Linked DNA regions of Tamandua tetradactyla. The protein of the gene in region 2 purifies or fractionates together with the protein of the main gene of each other region. This does not show direct contact. Links are inferred from orthologs where the notes say so. Each region holds a gene or a part of one and is shown on either strand. Other genes may lie near its edges.

The links. The genes of interacting proteins can lie anywhere in the genome.
Region 1: the proteins of IKBKG (region 2) and MAP3K14 purify together in Homo sapiens (affinity purification with mass spectrometry; 6 studies listed by BioGRID and IntAct, counting the BioPlex papers as one, with this or other methods). This does not show direct contact. The link is inferred for Tamandua tetradactyla from reciprocal best matches to the Homo sapiens genes IKBKG and MAP3K14.
Region 3: the proteins of IKBKG (region 2) and ATM purify together in Homo sapiens (affinity purification with western blotting; 7 studies listed by BioGRID and IntAct, with this or other methods). This does not show direct contact. The link is inferred for Tamandua tetradactyla from reciprocal best matches to the Homo sapiens genes IKBKG and ATM.

What each region holds. Positions count from the first base shown.
Region 1 is NC_135332.1:22,168,606-22,176,204, reverse strand, and holds the start of MAP3K14 (mitogen-activated protein kinase kinase kinase 14), read right to left. Parts: upstream 3,093-7,599; 5' UTR 2,983-3,092; intron 1-2,982.
Region 2 is NC_135353.1:6,923,387-6,931,341, reverse strand, and holds the start of IKBKG (NF-kappa-B essential modulator), read right to left. Parts: upstream 3,101-7,955; 5' UTR 2,987-3,100; intron 1-2,986. Other genes in the region: G6PD (glucose-6-phosphate 1-dehydrogenase), read left to right, coding at 7,374-7,411, 7,539-7,647. UniProt on the Homo sapiens protein: Regulatory subunit of the IKK core complex which phosphorylates inhibitors of NF-kappa-B thus leading to the dissociation of the inhibitor/NF-kappa-B complex and ultimately the degradation of the inhibitor.
Region 3 is NC_135334.1:33,611,586-33,618,673, forward strand, and holds the start of ATM (serine-protein kinase ATM), read right to left. Parts: upstream 3,093-7,088; 5' UTR 2,813-3,092; exon of another isoform or gene 2,799-2,812; intron 1,904-2,798; 5' UTR 1,874-1,903; coding exon 1,802-1,873; intron 1,725-1,801; coding exon 1,612-1,724; intron 1-1,611. Other genes in the region: protein NPAT, read left to right, coding at 3,464-3,500.

The DNA of each region.
Region 1 (7,599 bases), on a different chromosome or scaffold from region 2:
AAAATAGCAAGAAGGAAGAGGGCCCTTTAAACTAAACTACAAAGAAAGAAGCACAGGCACTAATGAAAAATTTCTTTTCTCAGCATTGGCACTCAGGTAAGAAGATGAGCCCAGAACTAAAGACCCATATTCAACACACTTCAATGTTCTGCTCAGCTCAACTGAAATGTTAGCCTACACAATTTGCCCTATGCCTGGCCTTCCATTTCTAATCGAAGGCTTTCAAAATTTCAGTCAGCAGCCTTTACACGGGCGTCACTCTAAATGCTTACTCTGCCCCTTGAAGATGCTCAACCTCTAATCCTTTCTGTTACAAGAGCTCTCAGCGTGCAGAGGCTGGAGTGGCTGGCTTCTCCTTACAGTTTCCCAAATTCACTGGCATGGATTTCCTCCTCTCCCCACCAATTTCACTCTGGTGCCATCAAAAGTGCCCATAATGCTCAGATGTTTCCAGTTTAACTGAAATGCTAAAATGGTGCAAACAGGAAGCATCAGACAAAACTGCGGTAGTGACTTATTAATCATGAAAGCAGAATTTTAGTTGCATTTTAACCTTTTGCCAGGAAAAAAAAAACAGCTTTGAGATGATGGAAGCCATTGGTAGAAAAATGCTGCCTGTTTGTGTATCAAGCTGATTTATACTTTTTATATAGGACTAAATTTGGTTTTTAGACTTTCTGAACTTTCCCCCCAGAAAGACCATCTCTCAGGCCAATAAATGTGAATTTGTCAGCTCCTCATCAAGGCAGGCAGCATTGTTAAGAAAGCCCATGTGCCGTCCATTGAAACAGGAAAAAAAAAAAAAGGAAATTAAAAGGGACTTCACAGGCCAAAGTTATAGAACACTTATAAGAGGGTGCCAACAACAAAGAAAACAATCCTGGATGAAGCTTCACCTCTTTCACAGCTCTACAGAGCTCTCACGAGACTCTGGCCAGGGATGAACTGTTATCACACACACACACACACATACATACACACACACAAAATCACAACAATTGTCTAGGGTTGAACAACTAATGAGGGCAAGCCCACTTCTCAACATTAAATGATAAACACTCCAAGTAGATTACAAAGGAGTCAGTGTTCAACAGGAGAATCAAAATGAGGAACCAAATCTCCATCTGTTCAGATAAACGGCCCAACCAGACAGTTTTGTTTAATAGATGAAGGCCCGTTTGGCAGGGTCTCTCTGGTGCTGCTCCCACAAACTCTAACAGACAATACCATGAGTGAAAAACCCCCTTCAGAATTGCTCCCTGTAATCTGAAAATAGTCCGAAGATGACTCCAAGCTTTGTAGTTTCTTGCTGTCTGATTTCACAAAGGTACTGGAACATATACCTGGGTACTTATTTCTAAAATTAAAGTTAGAAACTGTTACTTTTATTTTGAGATCTTCTGTAAAGTTCATCACATCCTTCAAAAAAACAAAGAATATGTCCTAAAGGTGTCTGAAAAGCTTAGAAGTCTGGCACACCAAACCAAAGTAACTGACTTTAACAATCACCTAAAAAACACAAGAGTAAATCTAAACACATTCTAATCAAGACAAGCACCTCTTAAATGTCCTCTGATGTTGAGATAATAAACACCACACCAAAAACTTGTTCCTCTTTCTTGCATCTGATTCCTATTATGTTGTCCTGGTCCAGGGGAAGGAGCCTGGGAAGACTCAAGAGATCCAGGCTCAGGTTTCCACCCTCAGTCTTAGCTATGATGCCTTTGAGGTATCAGGCAAAAAATATAATACCCCATTCCCCCCACCTCACCTATAAAACAGGATCATTCTATTTTTTCACACATATGTCTGAAGGAAAAGGGAGATTACAGGTATGAAGATACTTAGTAAAGTAAAAAAAAACATAGCACAACTGTTAAGATACTATCTTCCTGTAATCTTTCAGAAAGATTTACCACGTTTCTAGTCAAGGGGTTTTCAACATTTTTCCTGGAATAAACTTCAGACTGCTAGTTTGTGTCATGGCCCCACTCTCATATTTAATTTCACTTGATTTTAGATCAAGTCACGGGTGTTCTTTGTCTCCAGTTACCAAAAAGCATTTTGTCACTTTCACGGCTGATTTCTCTATCTTTTCTCCATTGAGCCTCCCTTCCCCACAACCACTCAATATTCTCCAAATCACCCCTTTAGGGTTAAAAGCAACATTTAAACCTCAGCTAGGACGGAGACACTTTTCTGAAGTTTCCAAGCACCAAGGAGGCTCCTGGGCGGTGGGACTCTCTGCACTGTACAAGTCGCCACTCTCTGCCTGGTGCCCAGCTGCTGCAAGTTGCCAGGACCACGATGGGCTTCCAAGAAGGGAATATTAATCAGAGCCGACAGATAAGATGTCCTGAGTGGAGAGGACAGAAGAATTACAGAGCAGAGCTGGGGCCAGAAAGGAGGGAGGATGCTGCCATGACCAGCAGTGCCCCTCTGGGTGCCGAGGGCAGGCTTGGGTCCTTCTCCTAGCCTCGGAGTGTGACCCAAAAACTTGCCAGCGAAGGCCAGGTGGGAGGTGCACCCACCAGGCGCACTTCTGCAGAAAACACCTTCCGTCCCGTGCCGGGGTGAGCCCCACTCCTGGGGGACGCGCAGGGAACCGCGCAGGAGGGGTGCGGCCTGGCTGTGGGACATCTGGGCGCAGTGGCGGGGGGTGCTGGGGAAGGGGAAGCAAAGCACCTCTGCGCGCGCTTCAGGCAAGCGTGTGGCCTGCGAGAGTGCGGCCTGGAGGCCCGGGGCGGGCAAGGCGTGCGACCGTGGCACCGGCAGCGCGTGTGAGGGCGCGCGGCGTTTGGCGGCGGGTCGCGAGGACCGAGGGTCCGCGCGCGGGTGGGTCTGGCTAGGGCCCGGGTCGAGCCGCCGACCCCCACCGCTCCTGGGCAGCCGGCCAGGCCGCGACCGGCTCAGGGACCGGGGGGGCAACTCGTCCCCGCCACTCTCTCAATGCCGACCCCGGGGTCCCGCTCAGTCACCTACCGGCCGAGCGCCGATCTCCCCAGCCAGCAAGTGTCGCGCTCCCCTCTCCCGCGATCTCCCGTCGCGGGTGGCCGCCGGCTGCCCTCCCGGAGCACTGTCGCCCCGCCCCGGCTTCGGGACCCGCCCCCTCACCACCTTCCCGGTCGCCCCCGCGGCCACGCCTCCCCCGGCGGCTCCAACTTTGCCTCGCTTGGAGCCTGCTTTCTCGGGCCTCAACGTGATCCTTGGCTCCGCCCACCCCCCCACACTAACCAATGAGACGGCCCCAGTGCTCTCCTAGGCCCGCCCCTGTCGGCCCGCCCCTCTAGCGACGATTGGTTCTCGAGGCCCAGTTTCCAGAAAAGGGCAATCTTTCCGGACAGTTTATAGAAAAGAGATTGTAGGGCGAACAGACTGACAGAAGGCGGAGGCGGTCGAGGTGGTTGGTGTAACTACACATGCGCGCTCGGCTTCTGGCAGTTTTTACCGCTTGCTTTCTTGAGGTTACGGGAAGGAAGGGCGAATGTGCGCGTGCGCGGGCACTCCCAGTCTCTGACTTGGGTTACCTTGGAGACGGCGAGGCGCTCCCCCTCCTGGGTCTAGTTCTGCTTCCTCTTTGCTGCTGGGCGGTGGCGGCTGAAGGAGGTGGTGATGGGATTAAAAACACTTTTATTGAGCGCTTGCTGTGTGTCTGGCGCTGTTGAGTCCCTAAAGAAGAGGAAAGCAGGTTGCAGTGCTTGCCTCGAGAAGCTTAGGGAGCCAAGGGCCTACACAGGTCAGGCCTGTGTGTAGACACCGAGGCCTGTAATAAGAGTGTGCGATGCACAGCCAGAGAAACATTGAGGTTAGAGACTGCACCAAGCATCCTCTCGCTGGATTTAGTGGTTATGGAACAGAAATAAAAATTTATTTTGAAAAGTTTGCAAAATAAAAAATGCGCCCTTACCCTGGACACCCCATCCCCATCAGGGCATTCAGGACAGGTATGGTAACTGATTCTAGTGATGAGATGAACCGGCCCCATCAAAGGCTGTCTGTTTTGAGAGGCAAAGAGCACCCCATCTCTGGAACTGTGGCCAGGCCACCTTCTGTTCAGGATCGTTTATTTTTTATTTTTGGCATGGGCAAGCTCCGGAAATGAACCAGGGTCACTGGCATGGCAGGCGAAGAATTCTGCCACTGAGCCACGGTTACCTGCCCACAGGATCACTTTTAAGACAGTCCTTGGTCGTTCAAGGTCTCTTTCTGGACATCTGCACCCGACAAATATTTCTGCTTTGGGGCAGTAGGGAAGGGCATTGTCGAAAGACAAACGGGGTCAAGTTTGCAAATTGCGGCATTTTGTTTGGGACATCAAAAGTTTTGCTGCAGCAGCAGAAGCCAGATAACTTGTAAGAAGCGAAATAGTTTCTGGGTTCTCGGGATGGCAAACGATTTTTATAGACATTAAAAAAAAATAGCTTGACTCCTGTTGATTGGACTAGGGTTTGTCTGTCTTATAGGGGTAGGTTTAGATCAGGTAGGCTTCCTTTTGTATTGGATCAAATAAAATGGGGTATCGATTGGTTATCTGGGTCAGCTGCCTTGGTGGGGAAAGTCAAGAGAGAGTTCAAAGAGGAAGTAACGCACGGGGTTTGGGGGCTCTGAAGGGTCCCCAGAGCTGTCTTTATATAATTTTATTAATTTTCCTTCTTATGGTCATTCCCTCTGTTTCAAAGGCTTTACCAAAGATGTTGTTAGTCTCTTATTTGCCACTTGAAGCCTTGTGTTTCATTATTGTTTTCATAGGTTAGCTGAAGTTCAAGATTTTTGTTCATCCCATTCAGAGTGGTTTTGAATCCTCAGTTATCAGTTGTCAAGTTAGTGACTGTGCAGCAGCATTTAAGAGGACAGAAATCAGACAACAAATGAGGGATATTATAAATATGATTAAAAGGATGACAAGTGCCCTTATTAGAATATCTCTGAGCCAAGATCCCCATGACCCTAGAATCCAACCAAAAAGAGACTCAGACCAATCAGATTCAGGAGGTGTGTAAACTGACACTTCTCAAGCAAGGGCTTCTGTTGTTACTACCTCTTAGTAAACTTCCTTTTGACTGTCATTTACAAATACAAAGCACTGTGTGCCCACTAGTGCACACACTTCCTTGTAGAGGAATGACTCCTCTAAATTTATAGACAAAATGACTCCTTTTGTCATTTTCAAAGTTCCAATACTTTGCCAGTTAGTGAGCTGATGCCTGCCCTGGGTGGGAGATAGATTTTTCTAACTCTAAAGCTACCTTTTCTATTACCAACTGTAATTGGTTAGTGTATCTTCCATATAGGAGATGGCTTCCCTAATGACAAGGGGGACAGTACCAAGAACAAAACACTCCATGAGGTTAGCCTGGGCTAGTGGGTTTTTCTATGATCCAGTTGGCAATATTCTCTTCATAAGTTTCTATAGTATTGGAAGAGACCATAAGAGCACTCTTGTCTCTAATTTTCCCTTTTGAAAGCTTATCATTAGTAGTCATTTGGGGAAAAGCATAAGTTGCATTACAAGAACTAACCCAATTTACAGGTAGTATTTTTGTCTACATACAAAATAGTGTCCTCGAAGAGTTTAATAAGGGTATATCTATTGCCTTTAATGAATGGAACATTGTTGTGTAGAGCTAACTGGGTGTAAACACCAAAAAGAGAATCTTAATCCAACATCGTCTTCATTGTTACCTGATATCTTAGTCACAATTAATCAACGATTTCCCTCGCCTGGCTTTTCAGCCTACCAGAAATATTTGTGCCTTGAGTGGAATAAGTTCTTATGCTATTAAAACCTTGGGGTGCTTGGAGAAAACTGGTATCAGAAAACTGGCCCCAACATTGTACTCTTGGCTCATAAAAGTAAAAGGAGTCTTGTCACATAGAAACTGAACATATACTATCCCTACAAAATGGCCATTTTTGTCTGTCTGCTTTCTAGTAAAAACATATTCTTTGGGTTAGAGAAGCCGCATGGTAATCCCAGTCTCAGGGGCTCTTAAGGAACAACCCCGAGTCATTCCCCAAAAATAATCTCTTTGACTGGGTATCAGATGTTTCCTGTCAGACCAAGTCTGCAAGTGTAAGGGGGATGGTTATTAGAGGAATACTTATTTGGGGACTAAGTGGGGGATGTGTACAGATCCAGCAGTTACCCTGATTGGTTTCCTTTGCTATATGGTGTGCTAGAAGAACAAAGGAATTGTGCTCAAGGCAGGTGTACCTAGGGGAGAAATAGAGTAAAATCATGATGAAGGTAGGGTATTATTGGGGATGGATATTGGGCATTGTAAGGAATGTAGGATGAATAAGAGAACATTTAGACAGATAGTGAAAAGGAAGAGACAGAGAATACAATAAAATTCAGGTGTGTTCTAGGGCACCATCTACTTGTTCCAATGTCTTGGGCAGAATCTGTCTGTGTCAAATGCTGTCTGTTTCTGGAATCTGTGTGTCAATTTTAGCTTGAGGTCAGAAATGGGATTAATCTTCCAAGGGCTTGGAGCTCGTTTTAGTTGTGACATGTGGACCCAAGGGTCAGTTATACTGCTGTAGTTTTATGGCTGTAGTTGTGGTCAATAAGACTTGAAAAGGTCCTTTCTCTCTGAGGTCTAAGGCACTCTTTGTTGATGTTTATCCCAGTATATCAAGCCTCCGGGTTAAAGATCATGTAGAGTTCAATATTGAGGAATCTTGGGAAAGGCAGCCTAGATCTGTGAATGGTGGAACTGAGTATATGAGATTCATTCCTTACAATAATTAGCAACTTCACAATGTAAATGTGAAATATTTAGATTGGAATCAGTAAAGTAGGAGAAATAATAAGCCTCATGGGTCTTCCCATTATGAGTTCATAGGGGGTTAGCCAGTCTTCTCCTGGTGGGCTAGACCTTATGGCCATCAAGGCTAAAGAAAGATCCCTAGGCCGTGGTAGAGGGAAGGATTCAAATAATTTAGCTAATTTAATTTTTATGGTACCATTTTTTTCATTCTACTTTTCCTGACAATTAATATGTTAGGGACAGTGAAGCTTTTGGTTCCTTGATTAAAGTTCAGTAAATTGGGAGCCTCTATCCCTTGAGAGAATAGCAGAAATTCCCCAGGTGGAGAAAATAAAGTCTAATGGTTTCTATCTACTGTGAGGGCTGCAGCTTTGTGACAAGGAAAAGCCTTTATCCATCCAGAAAATAGATATACAATAACAAGGACATGTTCATATCCTATAGAAGGAGGTAGTTGTATAAATTCCACTTGAAGACGTCCAAAAGAGCACTATCAGTTGTGGTCTTTGACCCTGTCCTACCTTTACAGTTTTACCAGAGTAGAACATAATCTATATACTTGTCTTACTTCTCATTTAAAGTCCCTTTTTTTTCTTTTATGGCTGAAGATGAAGCTCTGAATTATAACTGACTGCAGACATTTTCAGAGAAGCATCCTAGTAAAACAACGTAACTGACAAGGAAATTTGGTTGTTTTGTGGCGTGTAGCATTTCTAAGAAAAGCTAAAATTATGACCAAACCACACTGTTGTCTAATATGGTGCAGGTAAGTATTAGGACAGTGAGAACATTGTCAAATCTCTAGGAATTTTATGTAATCTCTAAA
Region 2 (7,955 bases):
AGTGTTTGTTTTAAGGTCTCTTTGTCCCCGACGTTTAAAACCCACAGAGGAGCCCTGCCTGGCCTGACCGTGTTGCTTGGGGAACTGCCATTTTTGCTTTGATAGGAAAGGCCACAAAAAATAAAGGCACAGGCAGAGGCATAGCACTCTGAAAGTAGGTGGAAGGCAGGGGGTACAGTCCTCGTTAAGCCGTGCTCCCCTGTCCCTAGCTACTTGCCCTGAGAGCAGATGGAAACAAGGTGTGCTGACCAGTGAGGCAAGCCCTAGGGCCTGAGAGCTGCTGCCAGGGTTTCTGCTTGAATTCAGAGTACCCTTCCCTTTTCACTTGTACCCCTAGGTGTGACAAGAACCTGTTCACTGTCAACCAATTGCCTTGACCGTTCATTTATTAAGATTTCGACCCAAACCGGCGAGCAGGTGCAGGAGGCCATTTCTCTGCAACTCCGTCACGGGCTTCCTTCCCCCTCGGCGCTGGGGGAACTTGGTGGCTCTTTGCACAGAACAACTTGCCACTGCCCTCCGCAGAGCCTGTTCCCTGCCACTTGTGTGTTTCTGATCAGGAATCAGGAGTCAAAAGGGAGGAGGCAGGCAAGCCAAAAACCAGGGCAAGAGGCAGTGGGAGGGAGAAGGGCTCCACCGATGGGAAGTGAAAGGCAAGGGAGGGCCGCCCCAGGTGCTCTCCTCTGACTCCCTGTCACCCCAGGAGCTTGGGCGGGGTTGGGGCTCTGGCTTCTTAAAGGAGCCACACCTCCTTAACACTGGGGCTTGCAAACATTAGCCCCTTAGTCAAAGAGACAGGTTCAGGGAGAAAGTAACTTGGCATTCTTTCTCCTCATCCCCTGCCCCCATACTGGCTTGGTGACACGGATGCCCCAGTAGAGCTCCCAGGTTCCAGACACCAGCTGAGGGCCCCTCGAGAGCGTCCTGGGGCTTGTCCAGGCCCTCAACCCTGTGACGTCTCAGTGAGAGCACTCAAACCTGCCACATGGCCTGGGGCCAGCAGTGTTCCCTGCTCGAACCGCAGCATCTCCGGGGAGTCGAGGAAGGCTTTTGAAATAAGCACCAAGGGTCCCCGGACCCCACCGAGCTAGTTTTGTGACTCCCACGACCAGCCTGGCATTGCACAACTCTGACTCGAGCCATCAGTCAGGTTCCCTTTGTTCTCCCCAGCCCTGGGAAGGGTACGGGGTCCTCCTAGGAGCCTATGCTCTTTCTCTCTCAGAACAGGATGGGCGGGACTCTCCCTTAAAGCATCGGTGCTCAGGCAGCACCTAGAACAGCTCCCACCCCTGGGCGTTCTCCACTCCTCCCTCTGCAGTGGTGCTGGGAGCCGGTTCTCCTGCAACCCACAACCCTAGGCAAGCAGCACTTCTCTGCTCATTCATCCCGCCAGTGGCCTCCCACTGAGTGCATCTTCTGTACCCAGCATTGTGTGCCCTGAGGACAGGCAAGGGCACAGGCTAAACCTCAAGTCAAGAACAAGCTGCAAGGGATGGCTGGTGGCTGCCAGGCACCCTGGGGGCCGGCGACATGGCCAAGAGCTTCCCCTTCCACCTCCCTTGCCCCCACTTACCCAACGCTTACCCAGCTTCCTTCCTAGAAACTGCCTGACTTCGGCTCATGAGTTACAAAATGGGCTTCGAGCCACTTGCTGTTCCCCCTTCGAGTGGCCACTTCCCCCCTTCTCAGGACTGCCTTCCCCATCCCCACCCCAATCCAATGTGAGAGTAGAGAGGCTAAATGTCCCAGTGGCAGGGATTCTGGTCTAGAAAGCTCTAGAATAGAAGAAGCTTATTTCTCCTTATGGACCCACATGGGGGAAAGAACCCTGGACCTTGAAGGCTATGTCTTCCCCCAACTAGTAACATTAATCAAGGCTGAAGAGCACCTCCTTTCCCATTAGAGGGGACCTCCTCAAATTGAGGGGGGTGGGGCACGGAGTAATAGGAGAGGGGGAGAATAGGATGGGCAAGTTCAACTCCTCCACAAGCTCCTCACGTCTCTGGGCCTCAGTTTCCCCACTTGGATCCCAAGGGCTCAGGACTGAATGGGTGCCCATGACCCAGCCCACTCTGGCCCCGGGAGAGATGGCCCTGGCAACCCCAGCCCCACCCTTTCCTCGGAACATTTCTGGGCCAGTCCCCCCCACACACACACATTGGGCCGATAAAATTCTTGCTGTGTCACGATGATGTTGGCACGCCCCCAAAGGCCTGTGATTCACGAGCCCCAGGGTGGCACTTTCCTTGCCAGCCCCCAGGTTCTCACTCCCTGGTGATCAGGAGCCAGCTGGGCCTGAGCCAAGGCCCCACCCCACAGTGCTGGGCTCTTTCCTGACCTGCATGACCCAAAGAGGGAAGGGGTCATGGGTCTCAGCAGGCAGCCGCTCTCTGGGGCTCTTAGCTGCCACACTCTGGGCCCTGAACCCCTAATACTAGAGAGATATCTGCAGTGGTTTGGGTCAACTATCTTAGGTTCTTCCACAGGAAGCTGAGGCCAAGTCTCAGGCAGAGTCTTGAACAGTGACCAAAGGGGGCCAAGGTCCCTTTGCCCCAGTCTGGCCAGATAACATGTGGCCTGACATCCTAATCACTTCTAGTCCTCCCATGAACTTACCACATGGCCTTGGGCATATCCTGCCCCCGCCCCATGGTCCTTAGGCAAAATGAGAGGATTGGGAAAGATGGGGAGCTCCCGCCCTCCTCTCACCATGGACCCTTCAATTAACCCCAACCCCCACATGTGGCTGCGGTTAGAAAGATTTTATCAACCAAGCCGTGAGATTTCCTAACATCTTCCCGTGTCTGACCCTCCAAAAGGATCCCGAGAGAGTCAGCGCAGGACAGCGCGGAGGGCCTGACACCCCCAAGCCTGGGCTGGGGAGAGCAGCTTGGCCCCTGTATCCCCTGGCCAGGAGGGGGGTATGGGTCTGCCTGGGCCACCCCCCACTGCCGTCGCCGCCACCACCAGCACCTCCTCATCCTACCTCTCCTCTGTTGGGTGACTGCAGACAAGCAGGGTGTGGGTTGGAGGGGCTGAAGCCGAAACAAGGCAAGCAGGTTCTATCACTAGTTAATCCCAAAGGGAACAGCAAGAACAAACAGCTCGGGGTGTGGGGCGGGCTATGACTCAGCAGGCAATAGCCCAGGCTCTTCTGATTTCTCCCAACCTATTGGAATTTAATCATAAGCAAACAAGACTCACAGTGAGTAAGGCTTAGAAATGATTGTAGACCATGGTTCACAGTGCTGGTTCCCAGTGGGCTGGTCCTTTCTGAACTGGGGGTGGGGGGACAACCCTAAGCCCCCGTGATAGGAGTAGATGCCCCCCAGCAGCAGACACTGCCAGTGCGTCCTGAGGAGCACCCCAGCGGGTGCTGGGGGACACAGAGAGGATGGCGGTGCAAGGACAGCCCCTGATGTGCTGGGTGGAGGTGCCCCCAGAGGTGCAAGTCCAAGGGCCACCCAGCAGGCCCAAAGCAGGCCACCTACTTTGGCCACAGTGGACCACCATGAGGGCAGGCAATGGGCAAGAAGGTCTGACGGGGGCATCCTAACCCATCTCGTGCCTGAAGACAGGGTAGAAAGAGTGAGTAGTTGGCAGGTGTGGCGGAGGCACAGTGTGGAAACTTCCCCACCAGGAGAACCCCCCAAGCACCTTTCCACCAATCTCGGGCAGGGCAGGGTAGGCGGGATTTTAACAGGGTTGGAATTCTTTTGATTTCGGTCCTACATCTTGCAACCGTCCCAGAGACGTAGACTCATCAAACCATGACCCAGCCAGGTCATTATTTTAATTTGGGGGTCTAGGGTGACTTTTAACTTTTTAAAAGCCTCTGGTGGGGGTGCAGGAGAAATGAGTTGGCACTTAGCCTCTCCACAGGCAATGCTGGGCTGAGGCGGGGAGTGTCATTACACCTGCCTTCTAGAACATTCCTTTGAGCTCAGAGAGGATCAGATAGCTCAGGCCAGATACATCTCCCAAATCGCCTCAAAGCCTGGAAAAGAAAAGTTGTTTCCACAATAGCCTGTTAGATAGGGTGTTTGGTTCATTTAAAATCAGATAGGTCTTTGCAGGGAAGCTTCAAAGCTTAATTTTGCTTTTCATAGTCAGGACCTTAATCCCAGGAGTCTGTTCTTTGGTCTGGTAAGAGTCAAGATGCAAGTTCTGGTAATCATTGTCAGTTCCCCTGCACTGCTTAGAATATTCTCTCCCCAGTGACTAGAAGCACTCCAAAGGAGCGTGGGTTTCTCACCCCCACGCAATCCCCACGCTCTCTTAATTACAGCTTTGGCAGATGAAAGAACATGCTCCCTCTACTTAGTTCTCCTCTGGGAAGAACCTTGCTAAACTCTCTTTAATTCTGTGAATTAATCAGCGGGTTGCCGGGAGTTTCTGTTTTTTCACTTGGGTAGACTTTCACCCACAAATCAAGGCCAGTTTGGCTTCTCCTTTCCAATCCCTATACCTTTTCCATTTTTTTGCCTTACTGCACGGGCTAGGACCACAAGTTCATCATTGACAAGAAGAGCCAATAGTGGGCATTCTTTTCTAGTTCCCAGTTTCTTAAAAGAAAATATTTCAACATTTCCACGTTATGTATGACATCCATAGGTTGTTGTTTTTTGTTTTTTGTTTTTTTAACCGGTTAAGGAAATTTCCTTTTTTTTCCTAATTTAAAAGAGCTTTTATCATGACTGGATATTTAATTGTCTGGAGCACTTTTTCTACATCTGTTGAGTTTAGCAACGTTGCTAGTTTAAAAAAACATCAACCTATAGAGCAGGCAAAGATTTTTTCTAGTGTTTTCTTTTCTCCTTTAATCTGTCAGTGGGGTGGTTTTCAAAGATTGATTTTTGTTTTCTTAATACCAAGCCAACGTATTTCCAAGATAACTTCCATTATTTCCAGGATAAACCCACCTTGGATTCTGATGTATTATATTTTTTAGCATTGCAGGATTGGGTCTGCTGATGTTTTCTTTGGCATTTTTGCATTTGCATCTGAGCATGTGAACGATGCTTTCAGTATCCAAGTTCTGCTGGCCACATAAAAAGATTGGGAGCCTTCTTTAGTTTCCTGGGGCTGAAGGTACAAAGTGGCACCAGCTTGCAGGGCTGGGGGGAGGGGATTCTTCAAACAACAGAAATAGATTCTCTCTCAATTCTGGAGGCTGCGAGTCTGAAATCCAGGTGTCAGCAGGGTGGTGCTTCCTCTAAAGGCTCTCTTGGTGGCACCCCAGTTCCACCGCTGTCTTCTCAGAGCTGTCTTCTCCCTCATGTCTTATCTGTCTCTTTGTCCATATTTTCCTCTTATTATAAGGACACCAGTCAGATTGGCTCCAGGCCAATCTGGCAGTCCAGTTTGCCCACATCTTCAAAGACCCAATTTCCAAATGAGGTCACGTTGGCAGGACCAGGCTTAGGACTTGAATTTGTATTTGGTGAGTGGGCACAGGCCCAACCCAGAGCAGTCTGCTCTCTGAGCCTCCCTCCCCTCAAAAGTCACATCCCTCCTGGGTGCCAAATACATGCACCCCATCCTGGCCTCCCATCAATGCTCAGTCCAAAAGTTTACCTTCTCAATTGTGTAAAGCGCTGACCTAAAATCGCCACCCTGTCCACAAACCTGTAAGACTTAAGAAAACAAGTTTCCAAAAATACAAGTGGTGGGTCAGGCAGATGATAGACATTCCCATTCAGAGACAGGGGAGCTGGAAGGAGGAGGAGGGGTCAGCAGCCGAAAGCAAGTTCACAGCCCCATAGGGCAAATTCGCTTCCATTACAAGGCCTGAGAGTCCTTGATGGCTCCGTGCTTTGCCCTCTGAGCCTGCTGTGGTCGCAGCCCACCCCCTCGGCCTCGGTGGCCCGGGAGTCACCCTTTCTTTATTTTGTCCCGTCTCTGTCCCTTTCACTCCAAGCTGGCTGTGTTTCTGCCAGTAGAAAATTCTCAAAAACTTTGTCGACCTTCCATGGAAGACCCACCTTTAGAAATGAGGGCTCTCTGCCCAGTTCCTTCCTGGATAACCCCACCTCAATCCCTGACTTGTGCCGAGGCCGTCGATAGGGTTGATAAGTCACCCCTCGATTGCTGCGTTAGATGGCCATGCAGCCGCCCCCTCAGTCCTGTCGCCACGGGACACTACCCAGCTGAGCTGAGATTTTCCAAATCTCCTTTCTGTTGGACGGTTCGGTCCCCGATTCATTTCTTTCATTTTCCCAGAAGCAGCCAGAAGTAAACCAGAGGTGCCGTCCCGGCTTTGCTTGGATAGCTCCTCAGCTAAACCATCGAAGTTCATGGCTTCCCGCTTCTACTCCCAACCCAACCCTATGACCCCATACAGTCAGGTTCTCTGCCACTTGAATGTCACGCCAGTCACTTCCTTCTAGAGCCTCACCAGAAGCATCTTAAATGCGCCTATCACTGCCAATACTCTCTGCATGGCGCTCTCATGTGTCATAGCCCTGAAGGCCAGAGGTCCAAAATCACAAGGCCCTGTTTCCAAACAATTCACGGGTCCAGGCATTAGAGCTCAAACATAGCTTTATGTGGTGTTGGTTTTTTGGGGGACGGGTGATGGCACAGTTCAACCTGCAACAGAGACTGCTCCCCTTCCTGTTTGCAGGAAGAGTCTGTTGCACACTGGTATTCTCTCTTCCTTGCTTTTTTTGGGCAGAGCCCATAGGTGAAACACACCCGGGCCCCGCCTCCTTCTCGGGGTCCATTTTGGTAGGTCAGAATTTTCTAGAAACTTATCCCTTTCAGTGGGGTTGCTGGGCGTGGCATAAGGCTGTTCATAAGCTCCTCTTCTGGGTTGCGTGTCAGTGGTTCTCTCCCCTTCTCCTTCCTGATCCTATTTACGTGTACCTTTTAAAAAGCCTTCTTGCTGCAGGGCTCGCTCTTCTGAGTCTTCCGTTTCAAGCACCACCTTTTGGTTCGGCCGATCTGATTTGGTGGTTTGTTTTCCATTTTCTTAATATTTTTTTCACCTTATCCCCTTCCTGGTCATCCGTGCATCTTTACAATTTAAACTTCGAAGGCCATGCCTCACGTATTTTGCTACCTGGTAGGTTTCTTGGCGCTCGTTTAGGGTCGCTCTTCTTTGTCTCAGCAGTTGATTGGGAGCATGGGGTCGCCTTTTGTTTGCTGGTGGCCCTTTGGTTTTGTCCGAGACAGCAGTGGGCTCGGGCGCAGGGGGGCACGCAGCCCCAGGGGCCAGCTCCATCCCTAACCTCGGGGCCCCTCTGGCTACAGATGGGGACGAGATAGATCCGCTTAGAGCTCCATGACGTCCAGGGCCGGGGTCAGAGGCGAGGGGGGACCCCTTTCCCGTCTCCAGCTGCCCTTAACCACGCTTGTTCCCTTTGACTCAGGGTGACCTGGCGAAGAAGAAGATCTACCCTACCATTTGGTGAGTGCGCCCCCCACCACCCCCTCTGCCCACCCCCAAGGCCTCCTCCCCCACCCCCAGCAGGCGGTTTGGGGTGGGGGGCACGCCCAGCCCGGTCCGCTCAGCCCTCCCCATGCTCCACTGGCAGGTGGCTCTTCCGCGATGGCCTTTTGCCCGAAGACACCTTCATCGTGGGCTTTGCCCGCTCAGCCCTCACGGTGGCCGACCTCCGCAGACAGAGCGAGCCCTTCTTCAAAGTGAGTGGCTCCCGGCCTTGCACCCCAGCCCCCACTGCTGTCCTTTCCACCACCCCCAGCCGCACCCCCAAGAGCCACTCAAGCCCCAGCTCCTCTATCCTTGCCCTGCCCAGGGTCCCCCATGCCAGGATTCGGGAGAGAAATCTTTCTCCAGTGCTCTGCACCCCGGGGAAAGTACCCCAAAATGGGGCCCCTGGCTTAAGGCACGAGGTCCCCGGGGCCACATCCCCGGGCCCCACCCCTCGGCCCTGCTCCTGGGGCCAGCGGGTGCCATCTCCCCACCTCCCTGCACGGCTCCTGCTGCCGGC
Region 3 (7,088 bases), on a different chromosome or scaffold from region 2:
AATAAGTTATGTCTTCCCACTGCCTGAGTTTTTTTCTTTTTTTAATATTTTTAATGAGAAATATCCACACACATACCGTCCAACCATATTTTGAGAACATTTACATCATTCCAAAAAAAGAAATAAAAAGAAAAATCTCATACATCCCATACCCCTTACCCCTTCCTCTCATTGACCCATAGTCTTTCAATCTACTCAATTTTTACCCTTTCTTTTCCCCTATTATTTATTTTTTTTATCCCTCCCCCCCTTTTTTACTCATCTGTCCATATCCTGGATACAAGTAGCGTCAGATACAAGGTTTTCACAATCACACAATCACAGTGAAAAGCTGCACAGTTACACAGTGTTCTTCAAGATGCAAGGCTACTGGAACACAGTTCAACAGTTTCAGATACCTTCCCCTAGCCACTCCGATATACCATAAACTAAAAAGGGACATCTATATAAAGCATAAGAATAACTTCCAGGATAACCTCTCAACTGTCTGAAACCTCTCAGCCCCTGAGACTTTATTATCTTTCATTCTCTCTTCCCCCTTTCGGTCAGAAAGCTTTCTCATTCTCATAATGCTGTGTCCTGGATCATGCCCAGCAGTCAGGTCCGACACTGCCAGGGAGAGTTATACTCCTGGGAGTCATGTCTCACGTAGGGGGGAAGGCACTGAGTTCACCTACCAAGTTGGCTTAGGGAGAGAGGCCACATCTGAGTAATAAAAGAGGCTCTCTGAGGGTGACTCTTATGCATAATTATTAATAGGCTTAGCCTTTCCTTTGTATGAATATGCTTCACAGGGGCCAATCCCAAGATTGAGGGCTCAGCCCACTGAATTGGTTGTCCCCATTGCTTGCAAGAATATTAGGAATTCCCCAGATAGGGAAGTTGAACATTCCTTCTTTCTCCCCAGTCCCACAAAGGAACTTTGCAAATACTTTTCTATTTTCTGTCCAAATTACTCTGGGATATATCCCACATTACACTAACCTGTAGAAAAACAAGATCTCATGCCCTATTCAAGACTCCATGTAATTATGGTGTTCAAGTAAACTGACCAGTACAAGGCAAATTACATAAGTTCTACCTAGAATATAAAGTTTGCACTAAATAAACATCTCTCTCTTTGATCTTGAAGAGGTTGAAGTTGAAAATATGCCATTGCCTGAGTTTTGTTTTTTAAATTGTATCCATATGAAAGTTTTCTAATCTTCCTTTATTTACTTCATTATAATCTAGCACATGGTAGTTACTTATACTCAAAAGCAATATTTAAAGTTGTCAAAGTTATAATTAAGTATTTACTATAGCTTAATTTCATTCTCTAATTTGAAATAAAGTCTTATAAACTGACCAAGATGAAAGGAATTCCCTCTCAATTTATCTCGAGTGAGATAAGCCTAAGACATTTTATGAAACAAATGATTTAAAATTTTTAATTTTTCTATATAAACCTCCTTTAAAAACTGTATTTCAGACAAACATATTAAACATTAACTTCATATGCAAGGTACAGTAGTTTATAGAGAGCAAAGATAAGATCACACATAAACCTAATGTGAAAACAACTGAAAATGAAATTGAGAAAAATAAAGGCAAAAAAATTGAATAGAATACCTAAAAACAGCATCCCAGTTCAGATATTTTCCTTGTTTGGAATCTGAATGACGATCCAAATGTTGAACTGTTTCAGGATCTCGAATCAGACGCTTAAATTTCTCAACTTCTTTCTGAAAATGAAAAATGAACATAATAATGGGTTACCAATCATACAACCCTTTAAAGAAAAATTAAAGTAATTTACTACCTTTCGCTCTGTAGCTCTATCATGTTCTAGTTGACGGCAGCAAATAAGCAGATCATTAAGTGCTAAACTCATGGTTCAGAATTTCAGATCACATATAATTGTCTGTAGAAAATACATAAGCATTCAAAATTAGTTTAGACCATGGAATTAATATATAATTGTTACATCTAATTGTGCAAGAGACAAAATGTGACCAAAGGCAAATACTTTTCTTAATATTCCCACATTTAAAATTAAATTCTCTTAGAATGGGTCAAAACAGTGCTTTAACAGGAATATGAAAAAAATAAGAAAAGGATCATTTACTTTTTTTTTAAAGAGATCTCTTCTAAAGAAACATGACGTTTAAGTTGAGACATGAAAGATGAACAGAGATAGTTAAAGCACGAGAAGAGCACTCACGTCTCTTCGACAGGTTCAACTATTAAACAATACCCTTGTTCATTTGTTGTGTTCCAGGAACTATGTTAAAAATGGTACATGAATCCTCAAAACTCTTTGACATAGGAGATTAGTTTCTTTTATTATCGCCGAGGAAATGTTTGGAGAGATGATTCAATCTGCCCAAGATTATACGTTTTATAAGTGGCAGAGAGCCACGACGTGAACCAATTATATCTGACTACAGAGCCATCTGTCAATGGCAGATTTATTTCCAGAAAGATGAGGCGTAGGCAACATTGTCAAATTCCACGAAAGGATCAAATAAACCTAGCTAAGGACTAAAAAGGAACAGCTGATTTGCCAATTCAGGAGGTGGGTTCAAAGCAAGACATTCATAAGAGGGTTCAAGGCTAAATCCGCTAGGGGCGTGGAGACAAGAGAAGGTAATGGGGTGGGTGGTGGAAGTAGAGGTGGGGGGAGGTGTGGAAAGATGAGGTGAAGCAGGTGGCGTAAAGGGACACTCTGGAAGAAAACGTAAAAATGGGAGTCTGGGAGAGAGGACAGAATGGCTCAGATACGAATGAATTCTCCACCGTAGAAAGCAGAAACTTGCCTCCGCGCCCCTACCGCTGAACTGCGACGGTAACGGCACTGGTGGCCAAAGTGGTATCTCTTGACGTGGCGTTGGCTGCAGCTCAAATTCCCGATTTTCTCGCCTCCTCCAGCAGCTGCAGCTGTAGCTTCTCGAACCCGTTATCCATGCGCCTATTCCCGCTTTCGGTTAAAACGCGGCGTGACCGCGCAGCGCGGGTCTTGGGAGGAAGGGGCTCTGCTAAATCCACGCCGACGTACGCTCTGCCCATGCGCGCCAAATATCACGTGCGCTTTCCTTAGCTCAAAATACTCGTCCCAAAACACTTGGCCTCTCTCAGGAAACGCGCCTGCGCCTTTTCCACCAATGGAGAGCGAGCTTTCAATTGACGTTCGATCTCGGGCTCAGTCTCTTACACCCCGCCTCTTTGCCCTTTTCAGCCTCTCCCTTGCTAATATAAGGGCGGAAATGACGACAGTTTCAAGGAGAACGGGGGCGGGTCTCATTTCGGCGCCTTTCTTTCTCTCGCGGAACCGATTGGCTAGCGTGGAGCGAAAGAGGCGGGACAAGTTGCCGCGGGTTCAGTGCCGCGGCTGGAACCGGGAGATGCGGCGCTGGAGCTGTGGTTTGTGTTTGCCTTTACCTGCGTCTCTTCTCTTATTGTGATTCCTTCTGAGACTTCAATCATGTTGTTACCTTCGGATGTAGCCCGGCTGGTACTGGGTAAGCGCGGATGCGAGAGAGAGGGTTACTGGGCCAGGAAAAGCAGGACGGAAGGACCTTTGGGGGCCAAAGGTTTTCCCTGGGCGGGGGAGCTTAGAGGTTTTGCCTCCCCGCCCACAAGTTCAAACCTGGGGTGATTCTGCTTCAGCCGGAGGCTTTGGGCAGTTTAAGACTCTTTGTGCGGGTGCTCTTCAGAGGCTTGCGTAGGAGAGGAGGGCTGACGAGAAGCAGGGGGTGGTACACCTGGGGCCCAGATTCTGAGGGAAAAGTCAGGCCTGGGCACTTAAGTAGAGATACCTGAAAGAGAGTTGCCTACGTGACGAACAGACTGCGCTTTCTTCAACCTTCGAGTTACTTTCGCTGGTCATAGTTGGGTCCGAGCAGTCAAAAGAAGAACTTCCACCGCAGCCGCTTGGCTTTGTAGAGAGATCTTCCTGATGTCCTTCGCATATCTCGCCTTTACACAACTACGAATTTGGGACGAGTGAGGGTGATTCTCTTCTTTTCCCCGCTCTCCGTAATAATTCGGCCGAATAAGTCGATTCCTATTCCTTTGATTAACCAAAAACTTAAGAGAGGAAATGCCTTTTAATTGAATATTTTCTAGCCCTCGGTAGTTTTTCCTCCGTTTGAGGAGAGTTTGTCCCATGGACTAGTTGTCTGTCAGTGTGTATTGTCTTTGTGGGCCACCGGGTTTTGTTGTCCGTCCCCTGAAGGAAGAAAGAGGATTGTACTGCTGAGAACGTGAGACATGTAAAGCTCAAAACCTGAGCCAGTTAAACACAGACAAATGTGACACCCCTAAATGTAAGCAGCAGTGATGAAACCTCTCACAGTGTCCATAGCCTTTACTGCCATTATTTTATCATTAGAAAAACCCATTTGTCTTGTTCCTTTTTTTTTTTTTTTTTACATATCCAGCCCTGTCGAAAAACAACGGTATTTGTACGGCGGCCTTGATGAGCACGTTTGGCATGAAACATTAGAGAGAAATGGTTCCACCCCCCCGTTTGGAGAAACCAATTTAATGACTTAAGTTTAAACGAATATTTGGTTGATCTTTAGCTCGTTTTATCAGGATTGAATAAGGACGTAGTTAACCTGCATCAGTATCTGTCGTAAAAACCTGAGATCTTGTAATTGTTACATTTAATATATGTAAGCCAATCAATAGTATACTTTCACGGTGTACCTTGACATGCTTTATTTTTCCTCATTATTTACATAAGCATTTTGAGTTTTGGCAGTTTTGTAATCCAGTTTAGTTTCAGGAACCATAGTCTTAAACAAGGTTTCTCATCCTCCACAGTATTGACATTTTGGGCCAGATTTTCTTTGTTATGGGGAGGTGTCCTGTGCATTGTGGGATGTTTAGCAATATTCCTAGCTTCGACCTGCTAGATGCCAGTAGGATTCCCCCAGTTGTGACAAGGAAAAATGTCTTAAGACATTGAAAATAAGTTCTGGGGGGAAGGGTGGGGGTGGCAAAATCATCTCTATTTGAGAACTGCTAAACTTATAAAAGCAATTTCAATATCCATTTGGAATACCCCACATCAATTTGTGAATATTTCTTCTGCACAAACTGGCTGCTCTGACTTTTTACCTTTTTTAATGGATAAAAACTCCAGTCATTGTTGTCTTATCCTAAAATTCTTTCTAATCCACATTTTGTGTATTACTTCTTACTTGGGCTTTTTGTCATAGCTTCCCATCCATATAGATTCCTTCTTGCTATTCATCTTATTTACTGTTGTTACAACAATCTTTCTAAAGCATTTGCACTACATCTTCTATTTTAAAAGTTGAAACAATTTTGCACGTACTAAAACTTCAAATTGTGCAAAAGGATATATAGAACAACAACAAAATGGCAAGGTGCCCCACACTCACTGCGCTTGCTTTTTCATTTGGCATAATATTTTGAAGCTCCTTCCAAATCACTACATAAAGGTCTACCATTCTGAAACTTAGTGGCTTAAAATATTAATGTTGTTATTTGCTCATGGTTCTTACTCCCATCCATATCCACCTCCCCTTCAGCTCTTCTCTTACTTATAGGTCCCTTTTCTTCATAAAATTCCTTCAGCCAATTTTTGGGTGCCTAGTATGTTGCAAATGCTGTGCTAATTGCTAAGAATGAAGAGAAAAATAAGATCACCCCTTAGAGTCCACAAAATTAGGTTTTTTACCCTTAAAAACACTTTACTAGATACCACCTCACATTCTATCTAATGCCCTATAGCACCCTTTTACAGTTGAAGCTTATTCAAAGAACAGTGAATTCTACTTACTTGCTCTACTTCCTTATCTACCCTTCTTTCTTCAGAACACTGCACTCTGACTTGTGTGTTTCTTACTCACTACTTTACCTGAACAGCCCTGGTTACTACTCAGCTACAGATAACTATTGCCTTACTGAGATTTCTTTAAATAGTCTAGGCCAAAAATACATCAAAACATAGCTTATTGCTTCTGGCTCGCTAGTTTGGTTTATCAGTATTCATACAAAATGCTTTGTGTAATTTATCCCAATCATGCGTGATCTTAGCTTCTCAACCTCAGCAGTATGCTCACAGCATACCAAGCTATTTGCAATTTCTCCACATGTTCTTATGTATTCTATCCACTTAACCTACAGTGCTTTTCTCCTTCTCTACCTCATACACTTTTACTCTAGTTCAAATCAAACCTGATCTCTGAAACCTCTTCCAAGGTTAGTTAGTATTCTTAAATGCTCTCATAGCATTGTCTGTTACTTATTTTATTGTAGCTATGTGTTTACCTCTTTGTCTTTTTCAGTATTCTTATCTGGAATTAATGGATAGGTTTCAAGAGTTCTGGGCATAACTATTAAAGTTTATGGGCAAGTGGGGGCATTTTTATTTATGAAAAGTCCAGAACTTTCTTATATTCTGAAATAGGTTAATTAGCTTTCTGCATGAGTCATCATCCAGGAAAACATAAACCAGTCAATATGAATCTGTAATGTGGAGGGAATTTAATGAGGAAATTGGTTATATTGGTGATAGAAGAGCTGAGAGGTCAAACATAAGGTGACTCATGTTAGAAAGAGTAAGAAATCAATCTGAAGCAGGAGAACAAAGATAAATGAAGCAACCCAGAGGCTAGATTGACTGTGTGGAACATGAAAAGTGGACCTCTCTAATAAAGGAGCTGATTTCTTCTTTCTGACTTCCAGTCTCCCACCAGTGCTTCCCATTGGCCTACCGCTGCCAGAAGCCAGCAGCTATGGGTGCCTGGAAAACATTGCATGCATGGTATCAGCAGGATTGGCATACTCCCAGACGGTTCAGAGCCAGCTATCTTACCCATTTTAATATCACTGACACATTATATTTAATAATTAGAAAAGCGCACCTGTAATCATGACATTCCTCTTTGTCTGCTGAATAATATCTATGCTCATTGCCCTGACCTTTACAGCTTTCATGATGTGGACCTATTCTGTCTTTTCAGTTGTATATTTACCTGTTCTCCTTCATATTACTTTGTGCTGCATCCAAACTGAAAATGTTCCCCACACTCTGCATTTATGCTTTCCATCAACTCCTCTGGGACTCCCAA